Drosophila melanogaster: one gene and its partners. The protein of the gene in region 2 interacts with the protein of the main gene of each other region in a pairwise test. Each region holds a gene or a part of one and is shown on either strand. Other genes may lie near its edges.

Evidence for each region.
Region 1: the proteins of CG4360 (region 2) and vvl interact in a two-hybrid assay, tested with the Drosophila melanogaster proteins (one large-scale study listed by BioGRID).
Region 3: the proteins of CG4360 (region 2) and CG31642 interact in a two-hybrid assay, tested with the Drosophila melanogaster proteins (one large-scale study listed by BioGRID).

What each region holds. Positions count from the first base shown.
Region 1 is NT_037436.4:6,788,104-6,791,857, forward strand, and holds the start of vvl (ventral veins lacking), read left to right. Parts: upstream 1-2,054; 5' UTR 2,055-2,722; coding exon 2,723-3,754. UniProt on the Drosophila melanogaster protein: Binds to a DNA sequence element required for the expression of the dopa decarboxylase gene (Ddc) in specific dopaminergic neurons. Could also play an early role in specific ectodermal cells, and a subsequent role in the embryonic nervous system.
Region 2 is NT_033777.3:20,326,137-20,329,890, reverse strand, and holds the start of CG4360 (uncharacterized protein), read left to right. Parts: upstream 1-1,887; 5' UTR 1,888-2,354; coding exon 2,355-3,018; intron 3,019-3,092; coding exon 3,093-3,575; intron 3,576-3,630; exon of another isoform or gene 3,631-3,662; coding exon of another isoform or gene 3,663-3,673; exon of another isoform or gene 3,674-3,738; coding exon 3,739-3,754. Other genes in the region: Sirt2 (sirtuin 2), read right to left, coding at 1-862, 918-1,014, 1,071-1,162, 1,218-1,302.
Region 3 is NT_033779.5:6,116,443-6,120,196, forward strand, and holds the start of CG31642 (uncharacterized protein), read left to right. Parts: upstream 1-2,069; 5' UTR 2,070-2,126; intron 2,127-2,187; 5' UTR 2,188-2,315; coding exon 2,316-3,754.

The DNA of each region.
Region 1 (3,754 bases), on a different chromosome or scaffold from region 2:
TTGTTTTTTACTCACTCGCTGTTGTTATTTAGCGCCGCCACCTAATTATCATGTAAATTTTTGTCTAAGGACCAACAATGACTGTGACTTTATTTTGTCACTGGGGTTTTTGGGTTGGAAACGCTTGGCTTATTAATTATGCCCAAGTGCGTGGCCAAAGGATATGGTCATGGAAAAAAAAACGTAAACAAATTTCATGCAAATACGCTCGAACTTGTCTGGCTTGCGTCTGCTCGGCTGGATGACCTTAGTTTGCATAATTTTTTGATTGAGCTCTTGACCTGCCTCAAAGGGGTCTAAAACTATGCTAAGTATTTTGTGGTGGGTGTTTATGGGATTCTTGGGCTAGTTATGTGTGCCAGGATTTATTAAATGAGAAAATATATGAGAGGGTAGCTTTGAACATTTTATGCATTAATTAAATATATTTTTTAAGTGGGAAAATTCTGAATATATGTTGACATATTTAAGGGAAATAGTGGGAAAATAATAAGTAATTTTTTTTTTAGAAAGGTAAATTTGGTTAAATAAGCTATTTTATGTCTGCATATATACATTTGACGGCAATTGGCTTTGAAGGCGAAATAGATTTCCATTGATTGTGTGCAGAGTTTCATTCATTCATTGTTTTAGGAAACATAAACTTTTACGGATATTTTTCATTTGATTCTTCGCATTGTCCCATAACGCTCCGCTAAATCAAAAAACTTTAAAACTGCACAGCCAGAAACAAAAGTCAGTATTCCAATGATAACTTTAACGATGGCAATTCCTTTAGCTATGCAAATGTATCGCTAGTTTCGCATTAATTTCGCAAAACTGATCATAGAATCAATGAAACTGACGGATGAAGTGAATCAATATCTTTTGTCAGTGAAACATAATTTAACTGTAAAGCAGTCAAAACACAGTCACAAACACAATGAGCAAAAGAAAGATATCAAGGTGGAAAAGAAAGGTATATTTTATGTAGGCAGCCAAACGAAACTTATATGCATATGAAAAAGAAAATTATAAAATATTCATCGGTAAAATGGTTATTTTTTTAAACGAAAATTTTAAATATCATTTCATACTAAACACTAATTTACTTTCTTTAATTTAATTAAGCTTCACTCACACATATTATAAACTGAAAAAATACAAATAAGATTTTCTTATATAACACATTGGTTAAATATTTAATGGGACACGGTCTATATAAAAAATATTTTCAACAGAATTCAGCGAAATTTGAATTGTCCAAATTCAAGTTCAAGATTTATTTATTTTTCATATTGATAATCAAATATTATTTGCTCTTAAATATTTTTACTATGCACACTTTTTTGGATGAACGATAAATAGTTAAATATTTAAACTGTTTATTTGTTTAATTCCTTTTCTACGCCACGTTAGTAATATGTTCTTCAAATCGCAATGGCAACCACTCCAGATGTCCCCCCTCCCAAACAAACACACACACTCACAAAGCCAAGGGAAAAGTTGTCTGGCCAAGGAGCTGCAAGGAACTGAAACAAAGCTCCCCGAACGGGAGAGAGAAGTCCTGGACGCAAAAGCTCCAACTGGGAGATGGCACTACGTGTAATCCCTGTGTTCCCGATAGCTGGACTCGAAGAAATCGAGAGATGCGCCGTCGCCGTTCATATCATCTCTCGCCCTCTCTCGCTCGCACTGGGCACTGGGCAATTAAAAATGTCACTCTGCATGGGAATGCACTGAGGGAACTTCGTAGAGCCGGCTCTGGTATTATTTTTTCATCTCATATATTTTTTTTGTTTTTGTTGGTTTTGGGGGCGTAACGCTGGAATACAGCGAGCCCAATAGAGCGCAAGTCTCCCTTCCAGTTGCTCGGTAGAGCGTCTATCTCGCTTGCCGCACCAATGGCGGTGCTGCTCGCACACATGGAACGCTGGAAGGCCAGCGGACAAACTGGTTTCGCTCGCCGGGGTGTGTGTGCGTACTGCGCTCGTTGGTGTGCGTAAACGTATCGGTGTGACGTACCGCCGAGCGTCGAGAGCGCTCAACGTAGAGCTGCGGTGCGAGACATGACGTTAGTTCACTTCGATAGCTCTACGAGTCTGCACGTGAATTTTCCCTGGGCTCTCGGCTGTCTTGACTGCTCAAATCTCACAACACACAATCTCAAATCTCAATCGGCATCGAATCGGTCAAGCAACCCAGTAGAAACACACATTCGAGAAATCTCAATCTGTATCTGAATATCAGAGTTCTGCGTTCTGACCACTGAGTTCTATCGATGATTTAAATCGTTGCGAAAAATCGCCACAAAAAGTGCCAAGTGTTAGAAGTGCTAAATGAAATTCGAAAATAAAAAAATCTAAATAAATAACCAAATAAAACGCAGTTAGCTCAACGCTAGTCAAGCTAAATAAACGTGAAACCCCAAGCAAATTGCCGTCGGATTTTTTACTTAACCCAAAGCTGAAATAAACTTGTTGAACGCGTTCGAGGGCCACGCCCCCAAAAAAGCAAACGTCGAACCCAAAAAAAAACAAAATAAGCGAAATAGAATATTTTTGCGCCTGCCACGTTGCCCGTAAAAGACGTCAAGACGGTTGCCTCACGGTTCGAGTGGAATGAGCATAGGGACCCTGGTCTTCCTTTCGATCGATCGGTGTACAAAGTCGTTAAACTGAGCCCCAACTTGGAGCCCTACCCCGCCAGCGTGGAGGGCCTGAACAGCCCCAGAGCGGTGGGGATGGCCGCGACCTCGTACATGACGCCGCCGAGCGGTGATCTGGACATGGCCCTCGGAGGCGGTGGCTATCACACCTCGTCGCCGCGCTCGGCGGCTGATGCCGGTGAAATGAAGTACATGCAGCACCATCATCATCATCATGCCGCTGCCGCGGCAGCTGCCCACCATCAGTTGCCCTCGTCGCCATCGCCCAATGGCCAGGGCAATGGTGGCGGACTTGGATTGGGTTCCGGTTCCGGGTTGGGCTCATGGAGTGCCCTCCATCCGGATCCGTGGATGCAAACCCATCATACGCACCATCTGCCCGCCGCCGCTGCCGTTGCCTCGGCCGCTGATACCGTCAAGCAGGAGATGTCGCATCTCTCGCAGCAGACGCGCATCCAACAGGGCATGGCCTCGCCCCATGCCGCCTGGCATGCCCCCCATGCGGGACACTATGCGCCAACGGGCGGGTCACCGTTGCAGTACCATCATGCCATGAACGGAATGCTCCATCATCCGGCCCATGCGGTTGCAGCGGCCCATCATCAGAGTGTGGCGCCACTGCATCATACGCTGCGCGGGGAATCGCCACAGCTGCACATACACCATCACATGGGCGGCGGCGATCGGGATGCCATAAGCGGCGGCGAGGAGGACACTCCCACGTCCGATGATCTGGAGGCCTTTGCCAAGCAGTTCAAGCAGCGCCGAATCAAGCTGGGCTTTACCCAGGCCGATGTGGGCCTGGCACTGGGCACTCTCTATGGCAATGTGTTCTCCCAGACGACCATCTGCAGATTCGAGGCACTGCAGCTGAGCTTCAAGAACATGTGCAAGCTGAAGCCGCTGCTGCAGAAGTGGCTGGAGGAGGCGGACTCCACAACGGGTTCACCCACGTCCATTGACAAGATCGCCGCTCAGGGGCGTAAGCGCAAGAAACGCACCAGCATCGAGGTGAGCGTGAAGGGGGCACTGGAGCAGCACTTCCACAAGCAGCCGAAGCCATCCGCCCAGGAGATAACCTCGTTGGCCGACTCCTTGCAGCTGGAG
Region 2 (3,754 bases):
CTATCGCCCGAAGTCATCTTATCCGGGTCCGATTGCGGTTTCTCTTTGCCTTGTTGCAGCTCCTCACTATTCTGGCTGCCGCTCAGTTTCTTCCTTTCACTTGTAATTAGCTGCTGCAGCTCTTGGTCCCAGCCCAAGGCTTTGGCCAGAGCCATTACGCCAGCATCACAGTCGCCCAGAAAGGCCACATCCCTAGTGTTATTGGGCTTATCGAAGAGTAGCGATCGCGTGTTGGGATCCATAAAGAGCACACAGCTGGCCTGACCCACTGCATCGCGATTGATCAAGAGGCGAATGCAACGTGGTCCTGGTCTCCACACCAGTGAAGCAAACGGTTGCACTTCCAACGATGTGCCCATGATGATCAGCAGATCGCAATCCTGGAAATCCTCTTCAGGACTGGAGTAAAATCTCTTTGGCAAGTTTTCGCCAAAGAAAACAATGTCTGGTTTAACAACGCCTTGGCACTTTTGGCATTTGGGCAGACGATCGGCGAAGATCTCCGCCTTCATCCAGTCCATGTCGTACTCCTTGCGGCACTTAATGCAGTGGTTGGTGTGGAAGCTGCCATGGGCCTCAATGATCTTGTCCTCGGGCAGGCCAGTAAGCCGGTCTAGCGTGTCTATGTTCTGGGTGTAGTGGCGCTGCAGTAGTCCCTTGTCGTTAAGCAAACGGATAAAGTAGTGGGCCGGCGTGGGAATGAAGGATCCAGGGTAAAGTTCCTTGGCCAGTGCAAAAAACGGCGCTGGATTCTTTTCGAAGTAGTCCAGATCGAATATGGCCGTAGGATGTGGCAGCTCGTACTTCTTCAGATTGCTGTATAACCCGGAACCTGGGGATCTGAAATCCGGAATGCCAGCAGCTAGGAATGGCGATAACTTAGTAAGTTTTTACAATGGTATATAGAATGTACCAACATGTAGATATGCCGGCTCCCACCATGGTCACAATCTTGCGGAAACCATGCACACGCCAATGTTCGGCAAAGCCGTCAAAACTCAAATCTGGAATAACCTGCAAATTTGCGATTTAATCAATATGATAATCAAATTATCGGGTGCTCCGCTCACCTTCTCTACTTTAACTTCCTCCTTTGCGTCCGAGGAGCCGCCGAGATGTAGAGTGTTTGCAAAGAAGCGTCGAACCTTATCCATTGTGTCGTCTAGAATTCAATTCAATTAATGAGTGACAGTAAAGACCTAACTATTTAGACTAGCCTGGGGCCTCCTCGTCGTCGTCACTGGACGAGGAATTGGAGGGCGTCGTCGGTTGTTCCTCCTTCTTTACTTCGATGTCGCCCATGGTAAACAGATTCACCTTCCGGTGAAAGTATGTAAATCTGAGGATAGTGTGATGAATTCTCCCAATTGTTTATGTTGCGTTTTGTTTTAACGTAAAAAGCAAAACAAGTTCTGACAACTATCGATAGGTTTAGGCTAACGAATAAGTTATCTCTAACAGCTATTAAAAAGCTAGAATTTTAATTTCATTGCTTATTGATTTAGATTTTAAAATCAAATTTGTGCGAGCAAACCAAAATATTATAATTACTTTAAGTAGCCTATCAATGAAAGATTTTTATTTAACAGCGATTTATTAAGGGTCGCAAATAAATATGTGTTTGTAACGGTTAGAACATATTATGACTCATTAAACAAAAAGGAACCGAATAATAGAATAACTAAAGCTAAGAAGGGCGCAAAGTTACAAAATCGAGTATAGATAAAATAACAATTACACTTTGTTGATATCTGAATATAAACTAATTGAAAGGTTAAAATCAGCTGAATTGTCAGCACGGAGTGTCCAAATAATCGATAGCTGTTATCGACCCACCCAGTGTTAGGCTCTCTAGCGCCACCAGCCCTGGCCGGCCGATAGTCGATTACTCGATGTTCGGCGGGGGTGCAGCTCTGCCCGTTCGCTCAGCCCTGGAAAACCACGCCAGTCATTTTTGTTTTGATAAGGATACGGATACAAAAAGAGCGTGGCCTGGAAAAACTGCAGAAACGGCGGAGAAAGCGCCCCAAAAGCGAGCGAAAACGGTGGAAACTGATCGTGGGGAAGTGCGCGACAAAGTGGCCGCGGATTCAGGCCCTCCCAATCGCTACGTGGAAGCGTAAGCAGCGTGTTGAAGAAGAGAAGAAGAAGAAGCAGCAGCAGCGCAGCAAAAGTACACAGAAGTGCAAACCAGACGACTGAAATAACAAATCAAAAAAGGCCCCAAAAGGAGCGGCGCAGTGGAAGCAACTGCGGGGGCGGGGAATGGCCGAGGGTCGTCGGTGGCCGCCATTGTGTAACGCCGCCGATGGGCAGACTGTAGATCCACGCTAGGATCATATCTCTCGAATATCATGCATCTGAACCATGCGACAGCCGCCACGGCAGCCATGGCCAACTATCAGCACTACCAACTGCCAGCCTCCCATGGCGGTGGCGGCGGAGGAGGAGGTGGCGGTGGCGGTGGAGGAGGGAGTAATGGTGGATCTGGACCGGGTCCCAACTCGGGACAGCAGCAGCCCACCACACTGGCCAGCCTGCAACAGAGTCCCTTTGCGCTGCATCAACTCACCGCCGTGCAGGCCATCCAGCACCCTACCCACCAAGCCATGCTCCATCCACAGCACCCGCTGGTCCATTTGCTGGACATATCCACTACAACAGCGAACAGTGGCGGAGGAGGCGGGGGCAGCCACACGCCCATTTCTCCTATGAAACAGGAGGTGCAGAGCGTGATTAGCGAGGAGGAGGTGGTGGTGGACGATCCGCGCAAGAAGAAACAGTGCCACGTGTGCAAGAACAAGTTCCGGCAGCTGACCACGTTACGCAACCACATGAAGATCCACACGGACGAGCGGCCCTACAAGTGCAAACACTGCGACAAGGCCTTCCGCCAGATCTCGACGCTAACCAACCACGTGAAAATCCACACCGGAGAAAAGCCGTTCACCTGCAACATCTGCGCCAAGGACTTTCGCCAGCAGAGCACCTTGATCAATCACATCAAGACGCACAAGGGTGAGTGTGTGGTCGCATCGTCCCAATAGACCTTATGACCTAACTCTATTTCTCGCTTCGCTTACGGGCAACAGCGGCGGAGTCCAGCACGCCAACTTCCCTGTTGAACTATCAGCCGCAGACGGGCAGTGGCAAACACCGAAAGTCCCAGATGCACCAGGCCTACCAGCAGCAGCATCAGCGCGTCCAAATCTCAAAGACCTTGTATTCCGGCAGCTACAGCTCGCCGGCGGCCGAGGAGCTGGTGAAGCCGTTCCAGTGTAGCGTTTGCAAGCGCCGCTTCCCGCAGCTGAGCACGCTGCACAACCACGAGCGGACCCACATCGATCCTAAGCCGTACAAGTGCGAAACGTGTGACAAGTCCTTTAGCCAGCTGGCGACGCTGGCCAACCACAAGAAGATCCACACGGGCGACAAGCCGTACACGTGTTCCTACTGCCACATGCAGTTCCGCCAGCAGAGCACCCTTACCAACCACCTCAAGACGCACACGCATCAGATAGCGCCTGGAGGCGTCGGTGGAGCAGGAGGCGGCGGAGGCGCCGTCACAGCCACAGGTGAGCCGCTTGTGTGTTCGCCCTACCAATGAGCCGCTTTCTGTTATCCATGTGTGCATTGATTATTAACGCTCTTCCCTAACGAAGCTTTTATTTAAATCTTGTACGCATGCTAACTTCAACAAATCATCCAACAATCCAACTCCGTACCGTCAATCTGCAGTGGATCACTCAATGCC
Region 3 (3,754 bases), on a different chromosome or scaffold from region 2:
TTTTTGCAACATTCTTTTTGACGGCGCTTAATGAATTGCTTCGGTAGTTCGTTATTTTCAATATTTGCCATCTTTCTCATGAAAACATAATGTTTGGGCGGTACATATACATATACATACAAAAGAAATAGCAAAACTCAAACTCAAATAAAATTTCTGCGAAAACCGCATGCTACCATCTTAGTTCTACTTTGGCTGACTCATCAGCTGGTCGGTCCGTCCTCCTGGCGATATCGTCGTGCTCAGCTGGCAACCGAAAGCAATTAGGGTCCCCTCCAATTGACTGCTCCATCGGCGGGCGGGGCCAACGGAGGAATGAACGGTGGAGCCGTCGGAGGAGCAAGGGCTCCACTTGGCAGTCGTCTGTCGCCGGAAAGTTGCAACAACAATATGTGTGCATCGTTGGTAGCGACAGCCGCCGTTTGTTTTTCGGCTTTGCAGCACAGACCGAAAACTATGCTACACGATTCAAATAAAAAAAAAAACTACATATCCTGCAGGCCAGGCACAAATTGTGTGTGTGTGTGTGTGCGAGTGTAGCCAACATTTTTATGTCGCTTGTGGCCCGTTGCCGGCTTCCTCACACTTTTAGTCACTACTTTCAGTTGGCCAACGAATAGCTGCGCGACAACAGCTTTTTTAGAGAAACACGAAAAATTAGTGCTTTATAAAATATTCTATTCGTCGACTTGTGCATCCGTGTGCCTTTTACAATGGTGGCCATTAATTTGCATTTGAATAGTAAGTATAATTTAGTTTATTTACAACCTTTCATATCCGCCTCAATGGAAACGAAAATATACTTACTTTGACTAAATTGGAAAATGGGTGAAAACTCTTTGGCGTACGCTCTTCAAGCCATACTGCTGACTCATGCGAACAATTTAATTAAATGCAAATTAAAATGCTTTTAGGGATATTAAGAAAAGGCGACGACACAAAGTTCTTAAGGGCCTGTGAAAATTTCGTCCTCTTAGTTTTGAGCATATTTTCCATTTTCATTGCTCCGCATTTTCCGGCTGTGTGCCATAATTATTAAAGTGTAATTTCGTTTCGCCATTACACTTAAAACATCAAGAGCTACGCATTTCAGTCCAAGTGAGATTAACTTTTATTTATCCTACAGTTTTTAGTCAACAAAATATTTTGTCTAGGGGTCATATATTTATATCACATAGTGGTTAGAAATTCTATTTAACCAGACCTTTAACGCGAGCCATAATTTCTATTGAAATGGCTCTAGATTTTTAATTAAAACCGTCAAATGTCAACGGCTCTTTTCATTTGATTAATTTTGAAGACCCTTCTGTGAAATACATAAAAAAATGAAATACTCACAGGTGTACCACCTATTCGCTTTCTATTTCGCGTAATTTGCAAAAATGTAATTGAGGCCAACGTGTGGTACACATGTATGTTAGTGGATGCATTTTACGCTGCCTTTCATTATTATAATGATGCTTATTATTTTAACGAAAGCTTTTAGTTTCACCTAAAGTGCGGGAATGCCTGCGTAGAGTGGAACGGAAATTCATAATCAAAATATGGCCGTCTACCAATTGCAATGTATAAACAAAAAAGGCGAATGTTCTATTTAAGTTGTTCCAATTTTGCGACAAAAAAAGAAGTGGAAAAATCTTAAATCTCAAGCAAATTAATGATTATATGTGCAAACTCGTAAAAAATACAAATGCGAACATTTTAACTCGAATATGAATATAACACAAATAAAAGGGTTTAAGAAACGAAACTGTAAACGAAATAACTCATCGAAGCTATTGTATATGAAGTATATGCTATCTATTATGGCGGGTTATGCGTTGATATCATAAGATTACAAATTATGCAAAAACATGTTGTTTCTATAGCTACTTAATTGTACATTGTAATTGTAAGTAATTTATAAGGCCACAGAAATATACTCCGTCATAGAAACTTCTCGTCGTGCACGTGCTCCTATTTTTTCGGGATTTTCACAATTGTTGATAGAATCGAGTTGGCAGCGCCTTTTGGAGTTTAGCTTTCAGTCTCACTTTTTTGTTCGATATTCAATAGAAGTTTAGTCAAATAATTTTTCTTGTCGAGTAAAGGTGTTCATCAGTTGAAAGTGAAAAGTTGTGAAAAGAGTAAGTTGTTGAAACGAATAAAAAACACTGGCGAGGCCGCTCACATTTCAATTTTAAATAGGGTTCTCTAATATCATAAACAAAATTCAGCAAACTTTTGAGTCTTCACCAACGACGATTCTCTGCGCACAATTCGTATATAATATCATCCGTGCACGAATTCCATTGCCAGAATCACTTCAAGCACCCATGGCCCACCAGATGCGCAATCCGCCGGAGCGCCACTTTGGCCACCGCTGCGAGAACTGCAAGATATCCGATTTCCAGGGCCGCCGCTACACCTGCAGGTTCTGCGCGGAATACACTTTGTGCGGCAAGTGCTTCGATGCCAACCATCTGCCGGCATCGCCTCAGCATCGCTACTACCATCCGATGAGTGTGTACTATGCCTATGCCGAGTACCAGCTGTACTTCGGCGGCGAGCCATTCTGCGGTGATCACAAAGTGGCCCAGAGCTACAAATGTGCCCTGTGCGATGTTCGCGGCCTTTCTACCGCCCATTTGTTCATGCACCTGCTGCAGGAGCATCGCGACCACCGTGACCACGATGCCTACTTGTCGTTGGTCAATACTCTCTATATAGCGGACAACGGAATGGAGCAACAGGTGCCAGTACCGCAACCTTCTAGCCAAACGCGCTCGACTCGTTCTCGCAATTTAGCAAGCGTTCGACCGGTAGCCGGTGGCAACACGCGAAGCGAACAGCGGACCGAGCAGGTATTTGATTCCGCATTAAGCCTGGCCCTAATGGTTGTGCAGCTGGACAATATGGATTCAACTGCCGCCGACTTTCCTGAACGCTGCTATGAGATACTGCAGCAGACTGAAACTGTGCTTATGCAGCACAGAAGTTCCAGAGTGCCGGACATGGAGGCGATTGAGTCTTTTGTGCGCGTCATCGAAGATCAGGTTGTGACTAGCATGGCCGATCGTCGTCAGCGTCTGGGCGCCTCATCATCCTCACTACATCGGCTGACCCGCATTGAGGCAATCTCTCCTGGTACTAATACAGCGTTAGCTATGGGTATGCGTGCTGCCATGCCCGTTTTGGTTGACCAGCCGACAACAATGGTGCGCAGGCAGACGGCTAGGCGTACTGGAGAGCCTATCGGGATAGCCCTTCAATCGGCGGTGGCTTCGTCTTCTAGGAGCGGAAAAGCGGGGTCCAGCTCTGGGGTAGCCAAGGCACAAACGAAGACGCAAGGAGATCAGCCCACCAAGAAGGTGTCAACTGTCATTACTTCCCCACTCAAGGATAAGCGCTTTTTGTGCTCGAAATTGGTGAGCGGAAATGGCCAAAAGTGGGAAAGCAAATTGCTCAAAGCTACCTTTACCGAGGCAATGTTCTGTTCGATGTTGGCAGACGAAGAGCTGTTCCAGCCGCCAATTGGACTGCCCTGGACTGCGAATTTCATGTTGGACGCAGTCGAGCCATCAGGCAGTGTAAAATCAAATGGGAAACTATTGCTGTATCCTGTTAAGACCAAGGAATTGATGGAACGCTTCTACAGGGGTCTCGCCGAGTACAAAACTTGGATTGGTTATCAGACCGAACCAACTGCCGAAAGCAAGGCAACTGAACTCCCATCCGCTTCCACCAGCTCGGCTTATTTCACAGTTTTGGGCGA